Daphnia pulex: one gene and its partner. The protein of the gene in region 2 interacts with the protein of the main gene of each other region in a pairwise test. Links are inferred from orthologs where the notes say so. Each region holds a gene or a part of one and is shown on either strand. Other genes may lie near its edges.

Region 1 (7,663 bases), on a different chromosome or scaffold from region 2:
CCTATATAGTACGTGTCTGTCCTGCCTCCCCCCCCCCCCGTGATTTATTCAAATGAGCCGATGACGTTATGTCCTATGAAGCCCAAAAGCCCTTTTTGGCTGTGCTGCGTTCGGTTTGTTATTGCAGCAGTGGAAGGACCCCCCCCAAGCGCAGACCCGATGACTTTGTGTGCGTTTATATAACGGCGTACACGACGACGAGCCATAAAAAGAGCCCAAGTGCTGCCCAGCAGCAGCAGCAGCAGCAGCAGTAGAGCTAGACAAAAAGGACGAATCAAAACGGGCCCCGGCACACTGTGGAAATTGTGCAAAAGTTTTGGCCACCGTCAAACATCATCATCATCATCATAGCCTTTGCTTTTATAACTCGATTAAGCTGGAACGTCGGTTGGGTTGGGAGGGGGGCATAATCAAGTCGTAACAGCATGCATATAATATACTTTAGTCCCGCGTGCAGTTATACTTAACGTTATAGAGATATTATATATACATATTGTGTATATGTATATCTCTAGTTTTCTGGCGGGCTGGAGGTTTATTATATGTACACACATAGAAGCGCTGATATTATAACGGGGTATATACACACACATGTCTAATAGTTTCTTAACTTTTTCGAGTTGCAACTGTGCATGTATATAATCACGGCTGTAATAAAATCTGACTAAGAGAGCATCAGGCAGTATAGGCAGGAGTTTTGAAAACGAAGTTGATGATACCTCGCCAAATTGTCATATTATATTACAGCGGCTAAGTGTATTATAGCGTACTTGAAAAAGGGAAATAGTATAATAGAGAGAGAGCTCAGCACACGTCTAATGGGGGGGGGATGCATCATGTTTGACCAGATTCGTTTGGGTTTCAATCGACAAAACTCTATATAACTGTTCAATTCTGATCGACTGTGATGAGCTTATATATATTTGGTGTACATCCAAAAAGCCAGAACAAACAAATGGACTCGACTGGAAAAATGAGACCAGTCTTGTCACGTTCATCGAAAAGAATTGATCACCACGCTCTACTCTGCTTGTATACCGGCTCGTTTTTTTATTTTTCTTCTTCCCCCTCAACAAATTTCAATTCGAATTTTTTTTTTCTTTTCCAAACACTCACGAATAAACAAATGACTAGTTTTGTTGTCCTTCCCAGAATCCTGTCTCGCCTTCAGCAAAAGAAAAAGATAATGTTTTTTTATTGATCGATCGTTCATTGATTTCCAAATTAGCTAAATTTTAAATAATAGCGCCATAAGCAATTAATTATAAGAGCAAATAAGGGAGGATATCAATTGTAAAAATTTTTAACTTTTTATCAATTCAAAGAAATGGGGGAATGTATTATTTCAATGGGGAAAATTATTAGCCCCCGACAAAAACTATATGGAGACGACGCCGGCTGACATCAAGTATAGCGCCGGCGTTTAATTGCTTTATGACGATGTGCCCAGTTGAGCCGGGCAGCGCACGAGAATAAATGTGTACACAAGAGCTGTGTGCTGGGCGTTTGTTCCAGGCCAGGCTATAGCAAAGAGAGCGGGGTTATACACTTCCCGCATTGCGTGTCAATCGTTGCGACCCGACGTCAACTCTCTTAAAACTTATTAGAACAATAATATCACCAGTGCTGATGATGATATGCCCGGCCGTCTCTAATAATAATACATTATACGCTTAAATTATAGTACCCCCACTTTATATATGCGCACTATACATATATACCACCCATGACATATTTGACAAACAATTGCGCACCGCATCCATTTATAGCCGGCACGAAATTATTTATTAATCCAATTTCTTTCTTTCTTTGGCTCTGCCATATCTACATAGGCCTAAACAAGTACTAGCACGGAATCAAGGTGCAATCATGTTAATCCTTAATGTTTCCGCCGTTCTTTTATTTTTTGTGTGTGTTTTATTATTTGAAAAAGAAAAGCTGCTGCCATCAGACAAGAGAGCGTCCAATAGTCAAGAGAGTCTTAAAGAGACGAGAGCCACTCTGCTCAATTGAAAACTCCCGCAGCAGTAGCAGAGCAGCCGGCCGAGCTGGGATGAAATTCCCTCGGTGACCCTTGGTTTCTCGACATGTTTATGTCCGTCTTTTCTTTCATCCTCCCAAGCAGCATCCGCCCGAAAGAGAGAGCTCCAGCAATCGATCGAGCGTCTAATAATTCAGTCATTGTATTCATTTCTATTTCTTATTCCGTATTATTATTACGACGAGATCCAGGCAGCCAGAAAAACGGTGGGAATATGTGTTTCCGGATGGCGGCCAGCAGGCCTATATAGTACAGACTTTCATTTCTTGATTGTTATTTAGTCGCCACACACATCTTAAATATCTTCTTCCTCATTTTGAAACAAACAAGAAAAATAATTTTTCCCTTACGCCGGAATGACTCTTCCGAGTAGAGTCGGAAGCGGCCAAGAAGAAAAACAAACCAAATTTTTCCTTCCATAGCCCAGTCAGTCAGTTTGTTAATAGTTAGACACACACAATATCAAGTCGATTAGAGGCTCCTCCAGCTTGTTAAGCGGAACGGGGAAAAGTAGAAAAACCGGAGGCAAAACAATCCAATTAAGTCATCCGGGCGGCGGTAATGTAGTATGTGCACTGCAGTGTATAGCCAGCGTGTATTACCTTTGCGTGTATTAGCGTGAAAACCGCGCGCCTTACATTATATTTCAAAAACAACGAACCTGGAAAAAGACAGAAAAATTACAAAACGGAAAATGGTAGGGAGAGAAAAGAAGAAGATAAAACGGAATATAATGGACTCGCTCGGCATATAGACGAAGGAAAAAAAGCGGAAGAAATAAAAAGAAAATTCAATCCGCATCCCCCACCCTCACTTTTGGGCTTTGCCCTTCTTTTCTTCTATTTCTTTTTCCAAAAAGAACCAATGGCAGTTGAATAGGCGGACCAATGGCGAGCGGTGGTGCCAGCCCGCAAGCTCCTCCCACCACCTCACGTGACTTTGTGTGTGGGGATGAAAGGGGAGGGGAGGGAGAAAACGGGTCCCGAAGAGCGTTCAAGTCACTTGACATGAGAGGCAGATTACACAGCGATCCGGCACTCAGTCGCTGACTAACTGCAAGTCACAAAAGTCGTCGCCGTTTCACCGTTCCCCCCCCCCCGTCATTCACGCACCAAGTCAATCAGTCACATCGCCGTCAATCAGTTTCGTTGGTTTTGTTTGTTCATTTGTTTTTCGTTCATTTATAGAATTTTGAAATATTTTATTCCGGCCGGAATTGAATTGAATAAATCAGTCAATCCCTCCGTTGTCTTAAAAAAGTGAAACATATTCGTGCGGGATCCAGTGTGCCACACCACAAGTGAATTCCGGCGTAATTTTGCGTAATGACACTGGACAGTCAGGTGATGACCTGTCCTGTTAACAAGATGGCAGTCTCGGCCTCACCCCGTACCAACAACACGACCAGCAGTGCCGGAAGTGGATTGAGTTTTAGCATTTCTAGACTCTTGGAAAAAGCTACGGCCAATGACAATTCCGCCTCGGCTCATCCGCTGGAGATTAAACCGTCGGCTACGGTCAAGTCCAACAGCAACCCGAAAGTGACAGCAGCGGCTGCGGCTGAATTGTTGCTCAGCCGAGAAAGTCCGCCGGAATCGCCGCTGGAAGTGGACGACGAGATGGGCGAGGACATGAGTGACGTGGACGACGATGAGGACGTCAAAGTCAACGATTCCGGCGACGAGGAATCGGCCGGATCTCGACCGGACGATTCGAAAATGCCTGACTATTCTAGTCATCCGCCGCATCCGTCGATGGGCATCGACTGGTACGCCCTCTACGCCCTGCAACAACAGCAACACCAACAACACCACGGCATGATTCCGTCGCATTTGATGCAGCACCACCACAATTCCGGCGCCTTTGCCAACAGCCAACGCGGAGGGCCTTCCGGCGGCATGTTGAACATGAGCGCCGGCACTTACCTCAGCTATCCGTCGACACCCGGATCGACGGGTACGAACGCCGGTTCCGGCGGTGGGGCGTCTTCCGGCGGTTACCCCGGCGGCCCGCCACCTCCTCCGCACGGATTATCTTCGTCATCTCAACACTCGCCGCTGTCGCCGGCCAGTCTCCATCACCACCACCACATGAGTGGCGGACTCAATCCGGCCGGAATTCCCAACGCCTTTGCCGCTCTACTGGAAGCCACCGTCTTCAAGGATCGATTAGCCGCAGGTAATAATCATCATAGCGGGGAATGTTGGGTTGTTTATTCTTTTAAAAAAAAAGCGCGCGTGATTTGAATTTTCTAAAATGAAACTTTCATTTCGCACGACACGGATGATAAATCGAGCGAAAATTGTCGCTCAACCGCCGACGACACTATAGACACACACACAGCAGCAGAGGATAGTATGAGAGACCTATCAAATAAAAGTCGACGCTAAATTATTCATGATATCGTCATAAAGGCCCAGGCCCCCTTCCATTTGAAAAAGAGAAACAGAGTCTCACAAATTTTGTATCACCTTTATTTTTTATTCCCCTGGAATCTTTGATGCGTTTATTACGACGTGGACTCTCTGCTGCTGGCTGTATAGACGTATGTGTATTATAGACACACACAGACGGCGAGCTCTTTGACATGTATATACAGTAGCTGTCTAGCTATTGTATCAATGGCCGTTTGGGGCTGCTGCTGCTGCTGCTGGAATCGAAAAAAAAGAATAATCATTTTGAAATGTATATAACACATATCTCTTGACTCGCTTGGGGGGGGGTTGTGCTGTGCCCATGACGAATGATCCGGACATTCAACGTGACGCCCCAGCGACGCAAGTGGATTGCTCTTTATGCATATGTTGAATATTAAAAAGAGAATCCATATACGCCAGCATCTCGAGAGAGAGTCACAGAGTCACAGCTAGTCTGAGAGATATTATATGAAATAGTAATGGCCAAAGCACTTTGAACTTATTGGCGCTTCTGCTGGGCCGCCGGTCCCACATTTTATTTGACACCTCTTTTTTTAGTTCAAGTTTTTTATTTCAACTCTTTTACATAATTGTAACGTCGATGTAAAATGACATTTTTGGAAATGTTTTTTTCAGGATTTCCGTTGGCCAGACGCATCGGCCATCCGTACCAGCAGCGAACGCCGCCCAAGAGGAAAAAACCTCGCACTTCATTCACTCGTTTACAGGTGAGCATAGTCGATTTGCTTTTCGCGATCAATCATTGATTAATTACTTTCGGTGGACACGGCAGCACCGAAACGATTCGCTAGAACACCCATTACATTCGCCGTCGGGGTGAATGGCTATAGTCGACTGACGTCAACTTATTATTTTATTAAAGAGTCTTGATTGTCTCCTTGAAACCAAGTTGTATAATTCATTGATTTATTTTTACGCTACGACCCAAAAAAAGGTGTGCGAGTTGGAGAAGCGATTCCACAAGCAGAAATACCTGGCGTCTGCTGAACGCGCCGCCCTGGCCAAACTGCTCAAGATGACCGACGCCCAGGTGAAAACCTGGTTCCAAAATCGCCGCACCAAATGGAGGTCAGTGATGATAATAATATTACCAAAACTAAACCGACCGAAATTCCTGAACGCGCGGGTTATTCAATTTAAAATTTAAAATAAAAAGAGAGGGGGGCCAAAAAGGAGGAGCAACTTCATTATCAATAGACGATTGATTGACACTCCCCTAAAGCTATACATACAAAAACTCCCGGCTCCTGCTGCTGCTTTGTAGTTTCAATAATGTGTATAAAAACCTATTTAAAGTCAGACACACACAGCACAATAGTGCGCTCTGTTGTTTTCAAACGTATTTTGGATGGGAAGAGAGTTTGTTTTGTTTTATTTCCTATCGGCAACATTCCCCCCCTCCTGCTGTCCCGCTGAAAATGGCTGGCGCGCCATTTAAAAAAAACATCAGCTTTACACGAGCACTTTCAGCTGCAGCTATTGCATTTGTATTTCACCAAGTGCCTGATTGTCATTCAAAATGGCCGTCTACATTATTCACCGCCGACGTGCCAATCAGATAACGAACGAGGAGGACGGGGGGGAAGCCCAAGGCAATATATACAACAGTGTGTGTATATCTACGTGCATGGCGTCGTCGTCGTCGTCGAAACAAAGTTTCTTCTTCTTTTGGTTGTATATATGTTATATTCTCTCGGCTGGTTTGCCGTGTGCTGGTTCTATCTCTCTACTTTGCGAGCTGATCGAGAGTCGCATTATTATCTGTCGACGCGGGATTGTCTTAATTGTTCACGGCTGATTACGGGAACGACGAAGATCGTTTGCTAAAGGGCGCCAAGTTCATCCAGACGTTTTTATTTCTTCTTCTTCTTTGGCTGCCGCCCGTCGTGTGTACTGTAGTCTTCTTTCCCCTCTTCTTCTCTCTCGTGTGTGTCTTTTTTATTTTTCAAATTGTTTGAGTGGGCCCATTTGTCTGTCGCTAGTCGTTGGCGCCGGCCGCAAAAAAAAAACCCACCCAGGATGGTGGGCGCCACCTCCCAGAGCAGGTTCTTCCAGCTAAAACTAAAATGGTTTAAAAAGAAAAAGAAAAGAAATACTTTTTTTTCCGTTTGAGATTGTAATGTAAAGATGATAATCTAAAATGCGTAAATCATCATCACTTTATTTTCCCAATTTGAATGGCGACTTTTTTTAAAAAAAGGACTTTTATTTGTCGTTGCGCCATTAGATTTGATATTGGCTAGTCGCTTTAAAAATGGTGGCGATGTAATATTAAAAAAGGGAAGAAGAGAACAGGTTTTTTGTTTCTGAATGCGAATCATTTATTCCATCAACAGAGCCGCAAAACAATCGCAGAAAACATGGGTCGTGTGTGAGAGGGGATATTATAATACTATCACGAAAGAAATTCCGATTGATTCACGACTGGTTATTTATTGATTATTGCTGATGTGTCCTTGGGCGTTTTTCCCCCTTTGATATTTTGAACAGTGGGGTTTCTTGATGTTACGTCATAGCACACAAGTCTAGCTAATGCGCCATGACTTGTCCGGCGAGGTATTAAATGGGAGTCTAATCTACACGATCCATCAATCGAATAAGTCCATATGTCATGCGTCTTCCTATTAGAGTCGTTGCGCTACTGTCGCCTATGTAAATTTCAACCATCTGAAATTTCATTTTGATTTGTGGCTCAAAATCTATCCACAAACTTGTTTTATTTTTTTCTGTGTGGGTATACAATACCAGTACGAACGGTCTCAATTTCAGTTTGTTTTAGTTAAAAAAAAGGTCCTTAATCGAAAGAGCATGTTGCGGGTCCACACGATAAAAAAAAAAGAGCGCGGGCTATTTGAAAAACTATTAAAAACTAAACCAGCAGCCAAAAAGAAGAAGCTATGGTTTTTTTTCTTTTCTCGTCTATATACTATTTTTGTATGAGAGCGTCTTATTGCGCTGTTTGATATACTCAGCAGCAGAGTGGGGCGACCGTCGTCGTCGCCGTGTCTCTCCAACAGGACACATCCATCAGTCGGTGGGAGAGACACGGAAACCTGCTCCTCTCTGCTGATGGCCTCCACTTCTTATCGGAGTTGAAAGAAGAAGAAGAAGAAGAGTCTCGTCGTCGTCCATTTTGCCTTTTATTTTAAATTTTTTCTAAACGGTGGGATTGCGCTCGCGCGCG
Region 2 (7,551 bases):
TCTCTCTCTCTCGCCATCAGTCCAACCCTCCGCCTTATTGTCGACAACTCCCACAGCAAAATCCTTGTGCAAAGTGGCTCGAAAGTATATCTAGAAACACACACAAAAAAAGAAGGTCTCTCTCTCCTATAGGCTAATTATCGTTATTAAAAGCATGACTGTGATGGGGGAGACCCCTCCCCGCACTTGTTAGTGCCCAGGTAAATTCCGTATACATACTACGTATAATGTCTATGTGTCAGAGAAGATATGGGACTATTCAAACAAGGCTGGAGAAAAACACATAGAGAATTTTTGGTGACCATTTGAGCTGCTGCCCAGCTCTATGTGTGGGCTGTTTTTTATTCCCCACATTATCTTTTGCTCTCTGCGGAGCCAGGCGAACAAATAAACACAACACACAAACAACAAATCCGAATGGCCATTATATTGCGGATTGCTTTATAATTTCTAGGCCCCCAAATCGTCTAATTACCCGCTGGCTGGCTGCTTTGGTGGTCATCCAGAGACGAGTGTTGTAGCGTATAGTAGTAGTAGTAGGACAAAAAGAGATAACCCCGTGTGTGTGTGTGTGTGCTATGTGATGTGTGTTCAACCCCCTTCTCTCTCCATTTATACAAGGCTCATATAAGAAGAAGATGAATAGGACCAACCCCTCTCACAGAAGAAGAAAAAAAGGTTCCCCCCTCATTGGAAATGTGCCGTACTATATAAGAATAATAAGGTGGAAGAACAAATTCCAAAGCCCTCTATCTCTTTTGGGGTTCTTGTGTGTGTGGTTATTTTCCCATTACCTTTCCGTAGTGTTTAACTGGCAAAAATGAAATATACCAGAGGAAAGAGAGAGAGAGAGATGCATATGAATCTTATATATGTGGATGACCCCCCCACCAGCAGCAGCTCTCAGTCCACTGTATGTATAACTGCAGCATCAGCGCACAAGCCCCGCGAGGTTTACAATTTTTTCCTTTTTTCTTATGGAGGGAGCGAGCCAACCGGAATTCCAGACGGGGAAACAATTCCATCGCCCCTTAAAATAAATATATTTTCTTCCAACCTTTTCTTTCTTTTTTGTTTTAAGAAAAAATAAAAGAGAATGGTGCGACTCTCGTCGCGCTAAACGTTCGAAAAATGCCTGTCAAAAGTTGACCCCCTCTCTCTCAGTCGGATTTCTAGTGAAACAAAAAGATCATGCTCGTTATCGCTGTTGACCAGAAACAAACCCCCACAAATCCACCAGCAAGGTTTTGAAAGAAAAAAAAGAAAAAAACCTCCCCTTCATCTTTTCTCTCTCTCTCTCTCTCTCTGATGGTTCCTTTTATTTTTCGCTTGAAATTCCGCGCCGGAGTGATGACCCAGTCGCGCCAACGTTATCACTCACTCACACATATACAGCGGCCGCCGTATATAGTGTACTTCTTTTGTTGTGTTATACGACAGCAGTCGAGCCATTTTTTCTTACAACTCTGATATCATTTCAAAGATGATTGGTATATATGTACGCATATAAAAACCTTAAGAAGAAAAAAGGAAAATGTTTCTGTACACATCGTCCATATAATTTTGGAGAGGGGGACTCTTGTCTGTATACGGTTCCGTGTCATTATTTGATGATTGCCGCCCACAGGCAAATGATTCCATCCATTCCGTTGTGTCGTCAACCCCCCACATTGGTTATGTCGCCGTTGTGTCGAGGGGCTGGAAACAAGACACGCCTGTAGGCTCAACCGCGGTCCGTCATCGTCGATTGTCGCGTGAAAGCGGTGGGATGGATGATGATTTCGGGGTTCCGTCTCTTTCTCTCTCTTATCATTTCGAGATTGTGTCTCTTTTTTTCTGGCTATATCATCTTGTTTTTTTTTTTGTTTTCAATTGAAAAACCCTGGCCAATTTTGCGGTAAACCTTGAAGCGTGACTGAGTGGATTATCTCTCATTTTCAACAAGGTAGGAGAAGAAGAAGAAGCTATATATAAGAAGATACAAGCTGGTGGACATGGCGCCAGCCGATCGGTTCCCATCGGACTTTTATTTTTTGTTTCTCTTCTTCTTTTTTTTCAAAAAGAAAAGGAACAACTCGCATGTTCTCGTTTCACTTTAAAGAAATAAAACCCTCGCCATTTACCAGGCAATTGACACTCGATATGCGAATCGAACAACAAAACAAAAACACAAACAAACTATGGGTTAATGAAAGCAAATGGATAGGTGGATGCGGTTTATCGCGCGCATCTAAAGCAAAAGCGGGCTGAGGCTGGCGGCGGCACTCGGATACACATGCCAGACGTATCCATGGCTGGATCAGCAGTTTGGCTGTGCATATAAAGAAAATGGGGTAAATAAGTGGGTGGACAAAAGAGGCCTGCGACATTGAAAGTACTACACATCCCATACATGTCTATAGTATTTTTTATTTTCAAAAATGGCACACGGAAAGAAAGATGGATAGTAGCAATCTCTCTCTCTCTATGTGGAAAGGCAGCAGCAGATGGTGATAATTAGATAAAAGATAAAAGATTGAAAGAAAAGAATTGAACGCAGAGACGACGACCGAATGAAGGAGGAGGAGGAGGGATCAAGGCATCAAGACTTGAATGGCCGAGAGATAATAAAAAGCGGATTGGGGGGTTCGGAAAATGGATGGAATGAATAAGAAAAGAGAAGAGGAAGGCCCGAAATTGGGGAGGCGACCAATGGCGAACCAGGGTCTCTCTCTCTCTTTGGCAGCCCACCCAAGGGCTATGGCCAGCACACAATTCCGGAGCCAGCGCGACGATCCGTCTCCACTCGTACGGACTTGCGAAAAAGCAACTGGGAAATAAAACATGATATCTATCGGGTCGTCTTCACTCTTCAGCATCAGTCGTTCAAGTATCTCAGTCCAGTGCGGTCGCGTTGTGTGTGCGTCTTCACTATTTGAAAAATAAGAATAACAACTTTTTGCTGGCCCATTATCAGTGTGTCCACTCCAAGACACTTAACAGAGTGTTGTGTGCTTGTGTTTTTGTGTGTGCACAGTTGATTGTGAGTTTAGAACCCAACAAGTACAAAGCCATTAAATCATGGATGCGGCTAAATTGGCATCGTCGGCCGTGAGTCGAGAAGATGAGCTTCAGCAATTGGCAATCCATGCGGCCGGAAATCGATTCCCAAATGAACGGAGACCTTACGGTATGTTTTCGTTTTGCATTTGGGTAGTGAAGAAGAAGAAATTGTTGGTGGGTTCGTTCGTTCAACTCTCCGTTTTTCTCTTTCTCCCTTTCGAAACAATAGAATTGCCACCGATTGGTAGCGCTGGATCACCGTATCAACTTCCTCCGTCGGCGGCAGCTCATCACAGTGCGTCGGCAGCTGCGATGATGGCCCATCGCCATTTGGCAGCCGCCGCTTCCGTCAAATCCGATCCCAACATCAAAATTGAATTGGAAAACGCCGAATTGTGGCAACAATTCCATCAGATCGGCACGGAAATGATCATCACAAAGTTGGGAAGGTGCGTGAATCAATCCATCAATCGGGCGAATTTGTTTCTCTAATCCAACTTTTGATTTCCTTTGAAAATAATCAGACGGATGTTTCCGACTTTGAAAGTCAACTTGAGCGGATTGGATCCCAACACGAAATACTTTGTCCTGTTGGATTTAGTCCTGGCTGATGATTCTCGATTCCGTTTCAACGCCGGATGGCTTCGTTCCGGCAAGGCAGAACCACAATGGCCGTCGAGGATTTACACCCACCCGGACAGTCCTGCCACCGGAGCTCAGTGGATGAAACACGAAATCTCATTCCAAAAAGTCAAATTGACCAACAACACCATGGATCAGCAAGGCCACGTAAGTTAATTGATCATTTCGTCACACATTAATTGCGACTCGGGTATTAACGGACAATTTTAATTTTTAACCTATACAGTTGGTTCTCACCTCGATGCACAAGTACGTTCCACGAATCCACGTCATCGCAGCTTCCGATTACGCAAGCCTCCATTGGGGAATGCCTACGACCATCAACACCGCGGCTTTCAACGTCTGCAGTTTCATCGCCGTCACCGCCTACGCTGTAAGTTCTAAATGTCGGAAAAATTCAATTACGAACGTATCAATAACGATTATTCTATTGGATTTCTAGAACGATCGAATGACGCAACTGAAAATCGATAATAACCCGTTCGCCAAGGGATTCCGTGAAAACGGCCAGCTTCGAGTGAAAAAGCGACAATTGAGAGACAGTTCACCTGGTAAGTCATTGATTCACCTGCTCGATTTCAAACGGAACCCGTTGTATTAAACTCGTGTCTTGATTCGTTTAGAAAACCGTAAAAAATCTCGACCGAGCAGCGCTTCAAGCTCTCATTCATCACTCAACATCACCGACGACGAATGCAATCCACCAACAGCGCCCGGAGTCCTCCAGGATCCTGTCACTCCGCCACCTTCGTTGACAGTTTCGTCGTCATCGCCCATCAAAGGTTCACCCACCAACTTTTCAATCGCTCGCCTAGTGGGAGAAACAACCAGCCCGGCACCCATCATTTTCCGACCTGAAATGCAACATCATCAGCCGTCATCCTTTCACCATCTTCATCCAGCCATCCATCCGTGGATGGCAAATCAGCATCACCACCATCTCAGTCCTTATTCTTCTGTGTTTGCTCCGAGGCTGACCGGATGGCCTCACCACTTGCCTTTGATTCCTATGATGCACTTTTCTTCCATGTTCCAGAATGGCCCTCATCACTTGATGATGGGAAGCCCTGGCTCGACCTCACTCACTGGAAATCCTAATGCGAACAAACTGTTTTAAAAATTCTCGCCTTATTTTCTTCGTTGTCCCTTTTTTATTTTCTTTCGTGTATTCCCTCTAGTCAAAAGGGGTATGCCGCATCACGTGCCTTCGCTCCGCACTCCCTGTTGATATAATTGTATTATTTTCACGTTGAATAATCAAACAAACACAAAACAAAAGTGTCGCAAATATCCCATATTCTATTAGCACAATGAAAAAGTGATTTTTTTTTCATTTCTCACTCTTTTAAAATTAATTGATTATTACACACACAAAATAAAAAAAAAATAAATACAAATCCAGCAAATTGAATTCATTTATTCATTAAGTAAGTCGAAACGGCTTCGGTGGAAACAAAAAAAAAAATTATTAATTTATTTATTTCGATGTAACGGGAGAATCGAATAAAACGTCGCCTACTTCTCATTTAGAGCACAGCAGCATCTATTTCTTATCGCCTTCAATCATTGCAATAACCTTGGCTCGAATACCCTATAAAATCGATAAGATAAATAAGAATTGTAAGCTCAATCGTTTGGTTTTCTAACCTCGGCAATTTTCGCAAAAGCTGGCTGAATTGTCATTAATTGCGACGGCAATGGACTTGAAGTTTCCGAACAACTCTTGGAAGCTGCAGCTTCTAAATATAAACAGATTCAATTAAAAATACGAACGCACTTTCATTGTCTGCCACTTATTATTTATTTTTTTACCTGCTGCGAGTTTACGAACAGCCGAAGTGATGGGTGATACGCGTGATTCACGTGAAGGTGATCGACTCTTGTTCCGTGGACTTTTACTTCGACTCCGACTAAATCTGTCGCTTCCCGATCGACTTCGAGATCGATGGCGACGTTTACTTTTACGTAATCGATCACGACTACGGCGTTTCCTCTTTTCCTTTCGATGCCTGTAGATAACGAGAATAAAAATCGACACAAATGAAAGACAAAATTCTTGTCAAATACCTGTCGCGACTGCGGTGTTTTTTGTGTGGACGTCGTGGTGATGGGCTTCTGTGGATGGGTCTGTTACGACTACGACTTCTACTTCGTCTGGTTCGACTCACGCTGCGGTATCTAGTTCTGCTGGACTGTGGGCTGCGACTTCGACTACGGCGACGGATCGCTCGCCGTCGTCTTTCAGATGGAGAACGAGACATGGAACGGGTGGTGGATAAACTAGGGAAATTCCAGTTAGTTTATGCAAAATAACATAGAAACGAATAAATCAGGATAACTAACCTTCGTGATCTTTCTCTCGTTTCTCCAGAAATAGCACCAATAATTTCTACATCTGCATCGTCAGGGCTGCCAGATTTGCTTTTCTTTGTTGAACTGCTTGTAGATGCAATCTCTGCCGTTTCCGTCTCTTCTATTGCCTCTTTCCCTTTGGGAAATTAAGAAAACAACACACGCTATAGTTTCTGTAGCAGTTCACACTCAAGTCGAACAATACCAGCAACTTTATCCCTTCTCATTTGGTCAAGAAATAACGCCGCCTTTTTCCGACGTTCCGTCTTCATCAGCTCGGGATCAACAACCAAACGTTCTGCAGGGCTTTCTTCTCTGGTCTCCCTTTTGCTTTCCACGGAATGATTCGAGGATTCTGACTGCTTGGCTTGTAGCTCTTGCTGCATATCGGTGTAGAGTGATAGTTTCTCCTTGTAATAGCTGTGAAATGAATGTTCGGTACTGAGGAAACTAAAACGAGGGTCGCCTTCACGACAAACAAAAAACCAATCAAGACAAATGAAATTTAAATAATAATACAAATAGAAGGTATACCTTTGCTTTGAACAACCGATTCCAAATGGCGTCCAATCCGCGACATGTAACTTGCAGTTTTATCAATTAGTAAACGAACTTCTGGAGACAGCTGTAAAGACTGCGCATCATCATTTGATTCTACTGTCGGTGAAACGACCGGATCCTGCAAAGTTGGAAATATGATTATCCAAGTTCAACAAGTTTAAATCGCGTCGTTCTAACCGAAATTTTGGATTGTAAAAGAGGGTGCAAATAATTATCGCCTTCGCTGTCGGATTCATTCACATGTCCGTTGCTCTTTGCGGATTCTCCTCTGTCGTCATTTTCGACTGGATCTTCTGTCGGAACGACATAGTTTCCGTTACGTATGGCTGCGAGTACGTGACGGTAAAATGGGTGCAAGGCAGTGTCAAAATGTAGAAACTGAAACATGGGGTTGTTAGCTTGTTTGGCCTTGACAATGATTTCCATTTGAGTCCCTTGAGAAGAAATAAAGTTTGCCGTTTTCTCGATAATCCTCGCTAACTTTTGAGTCGGTGGCACTATGATGTCTGGTGGTACGTCAAGTATAGGAGGAGGTACGTAAACTGCGTCTCCCAATTCACCAAGTGCTGATTGAAGAGGGACTTCTTTTGAGTTCAAGTCACTGACCTGTCCAAATGTTATCAAACATGAATTACTGAATTGATTTCAAGTGAAGAAAATGGTGGTCCCACCTCAGTTGAACTGGTGTAGCTAAAGGGGACCTGATGATAAGAGACTTCCTCTGATGTGACTTCACTCAGATCCTGGTTAAGCCTCTTGATTTCCTCCTCTTTGATGACAGCTTCTTCCGCTTCATCTTTGTAAAGAGCGAAGTAGCGTTCTTCGTCACATAGTTTTTCAATGCGTCTTTCTTCGGACGTGAGCCCTTCGGTGCGATCGTGGCCGCCCTGGGGTGCTTCATGTGGTTTCAGGTCGAATAATGTGCCTCGCGCGTCATACCTGCAATTTGAAGGA

Evidence for each region. The genes of interacting proteins can lie anywhere in the genome.
Region 1: the proteins of T-box-containing protein TBX6L-like (region 2) and homeobox protein bagpipe-like interact in a two-hybrid assay, tested with the Drosophila melanogaster proteins (2 studies listed by BioGRID). The link is inferred for Daphnia pulex from reciprocal best matches to the Drosophila melanogaster genes Doc2 and C15.

What each region holds. Positions count from the first base shown.
Region 1 is NC_060024.1:11,049,892-11,057,554, forward strand, and holds the start of homeobox protein bagpipe-like, read left to right. Parts: upstream 1-3,025; 5' UTR 3,026-3,366; coding exon 3,367-4,219; intron 4,220-5,094; coding exon 5,095-5,186; intron 5,187-5,413; coding exon 5,414-5,547; intron 5,548-7,663.
Region 2 is NC_060017.1:3,030,181-3,037,731, forward strand, and holds T-box-containing protein TBX6L-like, read left to right. Parts: upstream 1-2,844; 5' UTR 2,845-3,060; coding exon 3,061-3,169; intron 3,170-3,271; coding exon 3,272-3,491; intron 3,492-3,566; coding exon 3,567-3,831; intron 3,832-3,910; coding exon 3,911-4,057; intron 4,058-4,126; coding exon 4,127-4,235; intron 4,236-4,307; coding exon 4,308-4,801; 3' UTR 4,802-4,962; downstream 4,963-7,551. Other genes in the region: hypoxia up-regulated protein 1-like, read right to left, coding at 5,228-5,275, 5,332-5,423, 5,497-5,693, 5,752-5,964, 6,028-6,172, 6,242-6,502, 6,571-6,715, 6,775-7,203 and 1 more.